Cricetulus griseus: one gene and its partner. The protein of the gene in region 2 interacts with the protein of the main gene of each other region in a pairwise test. Links are inferred from orthologs where the notes say so. Each region holds a gene or a part of one and is shown on either strand. Other genes may lie near its edges. The genes, in order: Gnai3 and Gpsm3.

What was found.
Region 1: the proteins of Gpsm3 (region 2) and Gnai3 interact in binary tests that used the Homo sapiens proteins (3 or more experiments, as listed by UniProt). The two-hybrid records come from large-scale screens. The link is inferred for Cricetulus griseus from reciprocal best matches to the Homo sapiens genes GPSM3 and GNAI3.

The regions. Positions count from the first base shown.
Region 1 is NW_023276806.1:49,016,285-49,020,097, reverse strand, and holds part of Gnai3 (guanine nucleotide-binding protein G(i) subunit alpha), read right to left. Parts: intron 2,493-3,813; coding exon 2,335-2,492; intron 1-2,334. UniProt on the Homo sapiens protein: Heterotrimeric guanine nucleotide-binding proteins (G proteins) function as transducers downstream of G protein-coupled receptors (GPCRs) in numerous signaling cascades.
Region 2 is NW_023276806.1:231,200,779-231,204,950, reverse strand, and holds Gpsm3 (G-protein-signaling modulator 3), read right to left. Parts: upstream 2,837-4,172; 5' UTR 2,467-2,836; coding exon 2,422-2,466; intron 2,243-2,421; coding exon 2,140-2,242; intron 1,950-2,139; coding exon 1,750-1,949; intron 1,341-1,749; coding exon 1,203-1,340; 3' UTR 770-1,202; downstream 1-769. UniProt on the Homo sapiens protein: Interacts with subunit of G(i) alpha proteins and regulates the activation of G(i) alpha proteins.

The DNA of each region.
Region 1 (3,813 bases), about 180 Mb from region 2:
ACTAACAAACCACAAAAAAAGTAGACCCTCAAATTCACCTCAGAGGCAGAAAAATATTAAATCTTCAGTATTACAAGGGGGGGGGGGCAAGTAAATCTAGCATAGGGAAATTAATAGCATCTATACATAGTAACAAAAATGGTTTTAAATATACTGTGAAGGCAAATTTTAAAAACAAGGCAATTTTATTCCTGCTAAAGAAAACTTCCTGAAATCTAACATAAAATGAGTTATGTACTTAATACAGAAAAAAACAAAAACAAAAACAAAAAAAAACCAAACCTACAGGTGGCACAGACCTGTAACCCTGAACCCCAGAGTTCCAGTAAAGCCTGGGCTACATAGTAAGACCTTATGAAAACAAAACACAAAAAAATTAAAACAAAAGCTCTCATATATCTAAATTTATGTCAGCCACATACATAACTATTTGACAGCTCATTAAAAAATGACATTTGAATTATGAAAATTAGAAGAACTAGACCCAGTGAGAGCACAGGTGGACATGTTAGTACACGCCTGTAAACCCAGCACTGGGAAGAGGAAGGTGGCCACAAGTTTGGAATTAATCGGGAAGATATATATTCATAGGAGTTTCAGGCCAGCCTGGGCTATGTAACAAGATCCTCTTTCAAAACATGGGAAGAGAGTTGAGAAAGAGACAAAAAGCTAAATCTTCATTGATTCCAAACAACAAAAAAAGCTGAAGAGCAGGTGACACTACTTTAAGCATGTTATTCAGATCTTCTACAAACCAATTACCAGAATCAAGCTCAGATGAACAACTATGGAGGGAGAAAACTCTATAAACAACATGCAATTGGGGAGTCAGAGCTTACCCAATATATGACAGAAGAGGTAATTAAAAATCTACCTTTGATGACCACTGAATTACCTACACTATCACTGTGCACATAAAAACAATCTTATTTTTAAAAAGTGGACAAGAATCCTTTTACTGTTTGCTAAATCATTTCCACTGAAAGAGTACGTAAGCTTCATACATACCGTTAATGTCTTATAACACTATGTGACAAGATGAGGATGGGAAATATAACACTAGTAGAAAAATACCCTAACAATCAAAAGTACTTTATCTGATTCAGAGAAGGCTACAGATGACAAGTACTCACTAGGTGCCCCCCCCCCAAAAGCACATTTTAAAAATACACCATGAACATATGTCTTGAAACTAAATGTGTAGCAGGGCAGTGGTGGTGCACGCCTTTAATCCCAGCACTCGGGAGGCAGAGTCAGGTGGATCTCTGTGAATTGAAGGCCAGTGTGATCTACAGAGTGAGTTCCAGGACAGGCTCCAAAGCCACAGAGAAACCACTTCAAAACAAACAAACAAACAAAAAAAAACCCCAAAACAAAAATAAATAAATGTGTTGGGGACAAAACAGGATCACATATAATAGTAAAATACCAGTTCTGCAAAACTAATACTCAAGAGAATTTTCTTGACAAGGAAATGAGTCAACTCCATTCTATGACACATCGTCATTCTATAGAAGTCTACTACCACAGTCTGGCACAAGATGTAAACGGTGCTGGGTTTTGTGGTGCAGGCTTGTAATCTCAGCTGTTTAGAAGCTGAAGCAGAAGGATCCCAAGTTCAGGCCTGCCTGCGCTATCGAATGAGTTCAATGCCAATATGAGTGAGGTTGTGTCTCAAAATAAAAACTAATAAAAGGGCTGAGGATGTAGAGCATGTGCTTAACACGCATGAGACTTTGGTTCAATCCCTAGTGTACACCGTCACATACCACACCCACACACAATTAAGTAGTAATGACTACTACCAGAAAAATTCATAGCACAGCCAAGAGAGAGAGTATAAAAAGGGCTGTCACACCAGATGTGGTGCTGCACACTTTTAATCCTTGCATGGTAAGCAGAGGCAGGCCGATCTCTGTGTGTTCAAGGCCAGCCACGAGGATCCTGTCTCAAATACAACAATAACAAACCAGGGTGTGGTGTGGTGTGGTGTGGTGTGGTGTGGTGTGGTGTGGTGTGGTGTGGTGTGGTTTGTGTGTGTGTGTGTGTGTGTGTGTGTGTGTGTGTGTGTGTGTGGTGTGGTGTGTGGTTTGTGATGTGGTGTGGCGAGATGTCCAGTTTTAACTTTCCCCTCCTTGTCCTTACACAGGGAACTAACCTCTGCTAGATGTCTCACTCCACTTGCTTACCATAAATGCACCACAGAGCTATCCTTAAAGTAAGGCAGCTGGACATTTCTAATACTTGAACATTTCCTTAAGGATACGTACTGAACTTGCTCTAGGATCACCAAATCACTTCCTATTAGTTTCAAAGGAAAAAGAAATTACTTACTAGGAAGCAGAATCATTGAGCTGATACTCCCTGGACCTGCCGAAACATGCCTGCACCCCACCATCTCGCCAGAGCCGTTTAATCACGCCTGCAAGTTCTGAAGTCATGACTCCTTCTTCAGCACTGCCAGCTAAGACGAATAACTGTCGGGCATCATCCTGAGGAAAAGAGTTGAGAGAGGGACAGATGAGTTCCCACTTGTAAGACTAGATGAGGCTCACTCCACACACTCATGCACTTGCGAGTCAGATGTCATACGACCACTCTTCCATTAGACTCGAACTCCTCTATCCTGATGACTTATGATTAATGAGGGAATGGGGGGTGGGGAAACTTACTGGTCTGAGAGACAAATATATGTAACAGCTTTCCATTCTGTTAAAGTAAGCCCTTAATGAGGATCGGGAGCATAGCCCAGTGATAAAGTCCATGTGGTGCAAGCATGAGGACCCGGGTTCAGATCCATGTAAAAGCTGGATGCCACAGCATAAGCCTGTGATCTCAGTGCTGGGGGAGCAGAGAAAGAAGGATCCCTGGAGGTCACTGGCCTACCAGTCTGGCCAAAATAACATGCTCCACATTTGGAGAGACACTGTCTCCAATCGTAAGGTGGAAAATGGTAGAGGAAAACACCTGAAGTCAACCTGCAGCCTCCACACTCTATGCCCACAAACATACATGCATGCGTGTATGTTACCTAGACTGCTGGGGGTGTAGCTCAGTGACAGCGCACTTGCCTACCCTATACAGAAATGAAAAGATTTACATATAAGAAGTATAAACATGGCATAGGGATATGACATTAATCAAGTTTAAGGCGAAGTGCTTGCTTAATCAATCAACTGCTTGCTCCTTCCCCTTCACTGCAGACAGCAGGCAGGAAGGTGATGAAGCATGTAAGGCACTTAAAGCCCAGTAACAGGAACCAAGCCCTCAGGGAAAATGTTTAGTCTCTAGATACCCTAAAGGAACACCATTAACATTCTACAACAGGGGAAAGATGGGAGCAGGAGGGGAAATGGCAACAGAGTGACGCCATCAGAATGTCATGAGTTTCAGACAGGAATTGCATTAGTTTCTAAGTCTTAAGGTGATATGAGAATTTTGATGATTTTAATTTATCTTATCCATTCCTTCATGAAAATGTTAAACTGAACACAGCAGGGCAGTGGTGGCACACGCCTTTAATCTCAGCATGCAGTGAGGCAGAGGCAGGCAGATCTCTAAGTTCAATGTCTATAGATTGAGATAGGACAGCCAGGGCTACACAAAGAATCCCTGTCTCAAAACAACAAAACTGAACCCAGATCTCAAAGATTTCTCTATATAAATCTAGTATTTACAACCTCAAAAATTCCAAGTAACTTTTTTTTTTGGGGGGGGGGTGAGATAGGGTTTCTCTGTGTAGCTTTGGAGCCTGCCCTGGAACTAGCTTTTGTAGACCAGGCTAGTCTTGAACTCACAGAGATCCATCTGCCT
Region 2 (4,172 bases):
CGCCCGGCAACCCGCCTCCCGGCTCCCTCCGGGGGTTCACCCCGGCGCTGGAGGGGAGGCCTGGGGTGCCGCCTGGGCACCCCCACAGGAGACCCCGGCCCCCGGCGGCGGAGAAAATGGAGCCGGAGAGAGAGAGAGAGAGGAGGCCCAAGCGGGGGTGTGTGTGCGAGAGGAGGGAGGAGGGAGCAGGGGGAGCGAGGGAGGCGGCTGGGGGAGGGGAGCGGGAGGAAGAGGAGGGGAGGAGGGGAGGAACGGGGAGGAGCCGGGGGCGGGGACACGCAGGCCGGGCGGCGGGCGGCCGGCGGCGGCGGCGGCGGCGGCGGGTGGAGGCGGGGAGCGGCCGGGCGGCCCGGGCGGGAGAGGCCAGGCTGGCCCCGGGGCGGGCGGCGGCGCGAGCGTGCGAGCGTGCGAGCCGAGCCAGGCGGGGCGGAGCCGGGCGGGGCGGGGCGGGGCCGGGGGCGGCGTGGGCCACCCGGGTTCCGAGCCCACCGTCGGGGTGGCGCGGACTCCGGCCGCTGGAATGCTCTCCGACGGCTCGGTTCATATTTCTTGTTCTAATGACTCCCCTCCCTGTTCGACTTAATTAAAACCGGGAGACTGGGGGCTGGGGGGATGATTAGGGAGGTCTCCAGCCGCTGCTTAATGAGCCAGTAATTAACCAGCCAGGGAGGGGACTTGGCCTCCGGCCAGCTCGCGGAGAGCGGCTGCCCCAGGCCTCACCGACCCACCTTGCACACCCAGCCACCCACCCCCAGATACCAGTCTTCAGTGCAGAGGGGAATTAAGTTTATTCACACAACCAACACATCGGGCAGACTCAGCAGCAGCAGCAGCAGGGTGTGTGGGTGGGGCTGAGGTTCGCTTCAGGGCCTCTGGGCTCCTCGGCCTTGGGGCTTGGGGTGCCAGTGCTGGGCGGTTGTCTTAATCTTTCCCCTTTTTCTTGCTAGGCAGGAGGGGCAGGCCTCAGTCCTCACACCCCGTTGAGTAGCTTGACAGCTCAGGATAGAGACTCTTGAACGGTCTTGGGGAGTCGTGTCCACCCTACCTTGCTCGTTTTCAAGGTTAGGGTACTTGCCCCCTGTCCAGTTCCCTGGGAAAATGGGTCTTCAGTCTCTGGCACCCCTGCCACGCAGGGTTGAAGGCTTGCGGGGGTGGCCCAGCTTTGAGTCCCTGAGAGAAGGGGCTGGTTGGGAGCTCAGGTCTCAGCAGGTGTGTGTAGGGGGCCGGGATCTTTGCTCCTCCATTCGCCCTCCACCCTGAACTCTCAGCAGCAACTCCAGGAGCTCCTGTCCCCCGGGGGGCAGGGGCGGCTCTGACCGCTGGGCTTCCATCCGCTGGCACTAGACATGCAGAGGGAGAGGAGAGCCTTGGTGGTCGGTGGTGGCTTTGGGTAAGAGGGCCAGGGTTGGTCTAGGGCAGTAGGTGTTGAGGGGAGCAGAGGCTGGCCAAGAGACATATGTTTTGGGGAGGAAGAAGTTAGGGCTGAAGCCTAACTTCAGGTGGTGGCGCACGCCTTTAATCCCAGCACTCGGGAGGCAGAGGCAGGAGGATCTCTGTGAGTTCGAGGCCAGCCTGGTCTCCAGAGCGAGAGACAGGACAGGCTCCAAAGCTACACAGAGAAACCCTGTCTCGAAAAAAAACCCCAATAATAATAATAATAATAATAATAATAATAATAATAATAATAAAAAGACTAAGTTAGGGCTGAAACAATGCAAGCGGCAGTGTGGGGGGGTATGTTTGCCTTACCTGGTGACTAAGAATGGTGCTGTAGAGCTGTTCTTGGTCCTCAAGAAGCCGGGGTGGGGTTGGGGTTTGGCTCCTGGGGACCTTGGGGGTGTGGAAGGTGGCCCTCTGTTCCTCTAGGCGGCGGGACTGGGCCTCAGCCACCAGGTCCAGAAGGAGCTCTGTCTGCAGGGAGAGCAGGGAGCCCGACCGGGGCCCCAGGGCTATGGGAGAGGAGGGGGGAGGCTAAGACCCAGAGGCGATGGCAGAAAGGAGACGCCACGGACAGGTGGGGGCAGGTGAGCTGGTAGACTGTGGTTAGGGTCCAGCAGGTGAGCAGGTGTGAGGTTAGCGGGCCTACGCTGGGGTGGCCTGGGTGATGGGTCAGGGTCTCCCAGGGTTGGTGTGGGGTACCTGTGTGGCGGGTTCCTGCAGGAGGAGGGGAGGGAGGCGCAGATCGCCAAGGCCGAGTGGTGGAGTTCACAGGGGGCCAGCCCTGATCATCTTGCGGGGGACCCTGATACCGAAACAGGTCCATTCCAGTCAGATGGCGGTGTGGGCAGAGGGCTAGGCTGGCGACCATGTCCCCTGTGTGCCTGTCCCTGCCTTCCTTGGTGTGCCCAAGCTTTCCAAGTGTCCTGTGTCCTCACATGCCCCTGCTCCCTGTGCTGGCCTCCCACCCGGCGCCCGGCTCACCTGCTGCTCATCATCCTCTTCTTCCTGGGGTCTTCCAGCCTCCATCCCTGGGCTGGGGAGAGACACTGGTGGGGGAGGGGAGGCTGGAATTTGGAAGGAGGACCGGAACCCTGGGCTCCTGAGGGGAACGGGGGGCTGGAAGGGGTGGGGGTGAGCTGGGGGCTGGATGCCTGGGTACTGAGCAGGAAGCTGGGTTCCTGGTCAGCCCCGCCCATCTCGGTCAACTTCCTCCATTCTCCTTTCCCACCCAAACAGCTTGTTTGACCTCTCTTGCCCCTGGGGAGGACAGAGACTGGGAAGAAGTCCAGCTTCGGAGTGGGGCAGGCTCCTGACAGGGCCAGACTCGGGCCTACTCATCTCCAGAGCCTCAGTAACCCCCTACCCCTGCCACACCGCTCCCTCCATCCCCACCTCCCCTCCAGCTCCTCTCTGTCAACACCGGAACTAGCTACAACACAGGAAGTGGTTTCACTCTTTGGGATCCCCTCCCCCAAACGAGGTTTCTTCCCTCCCCAAGACTGATCCTGAGTGGCCCTTCTCACCGTCTCTCTTCGACTTCCCGGGCCAGGGAAAGGCAGGGTTCTAGAGGGAAGCAGAAGGCGCGGACCGAGAGGCACTGGTGTCAGGCCCAATGCTTCTGTCCTAACTCTGGGCCGACACACGGGAAGTAGTTGGAGACTGGTTGCTGAGTGCTTTTCACTACCCTCAAGCGTTACAAGCAGAGGAGGGGACCAGAGTGAACCAAGTGTGAGAAAATGTCCCTGGAAGCTGAGCTAGTGTAGGCAAAGGCCACAGGAAGACTTGCCTGGGGTCATGAGAGTGGAAGACAGAACTTAGTTTGGCTTTTGGCCAGTTCTGGTTAGCCCCAGGAGGAGCAGGACAGACATCTGGACTCTTCAAATGGCTTCCCGCCGGCTGTGTGACGTTATGAAGTTAGAGCCAAGTGGCTTGGGGCATGAAAGGGGGTGAAGAGAGCCCGGCAATCTTAGGTGAATGAAACCTCTGTGCCTCCATTTGTGACCGGGTAAAGTGGCCCTTGTGGCACTTACCTCATAGGATTGGGGAGGGTTAATTGTAGTGAGCACTTGGCACCTGGCAGATACTCTATAAAGGGTGGCTGGTAATCTTCCAGAATGCTCCTGGGCCTTACGTCACAGGCTTATCAGGGTTGGGGTAAAGCCATGAGGATGAAATGCGTGTCCAAGACCTTAGCGGTCTCCTAAATGCCCAAGGATGGGGGGCACAGCATCTATCACCTTGTATGTTTGTTTTGACTGTTAAGAGATTCTCGCTTTCCAGATGACACCCCCCAAACTGGGACCCCCAGATTGTTTCCCCTTAATTTGTATCTAAAAGCCACCTGCCTTTATGGATGAACCTAGGGTACTAGATTTCCCAAACACTATGAGTTCCTCAGACAAATAAAGTAACACTTTAAATCAGCTTTATTTATTGTTCATGAGTTTGGGGTTCCTAGAGATAGCAGTAGCTAGAGAGGAAGGCCTCGTCCCTGCATCACTTTCCTGGGGGCAGGAGTGGCAGAGGGGGGGCGAGGAGTCATCAGCTGGAGGGGCCACTGGCCACGCTTCATCGTCAACACAAGGCCCAGCACATAGTAGGGGCTCAATAAATATTTGCCAGCTACTCGCGGGCAGTGGGCAGCAGAGACTTGGTTTGGGAAACCATACACAGGGAACATTTTTACACCCAGTTTGCCCACAGTTCTTGGTCCCAGTTGAGGGATTCTCAAA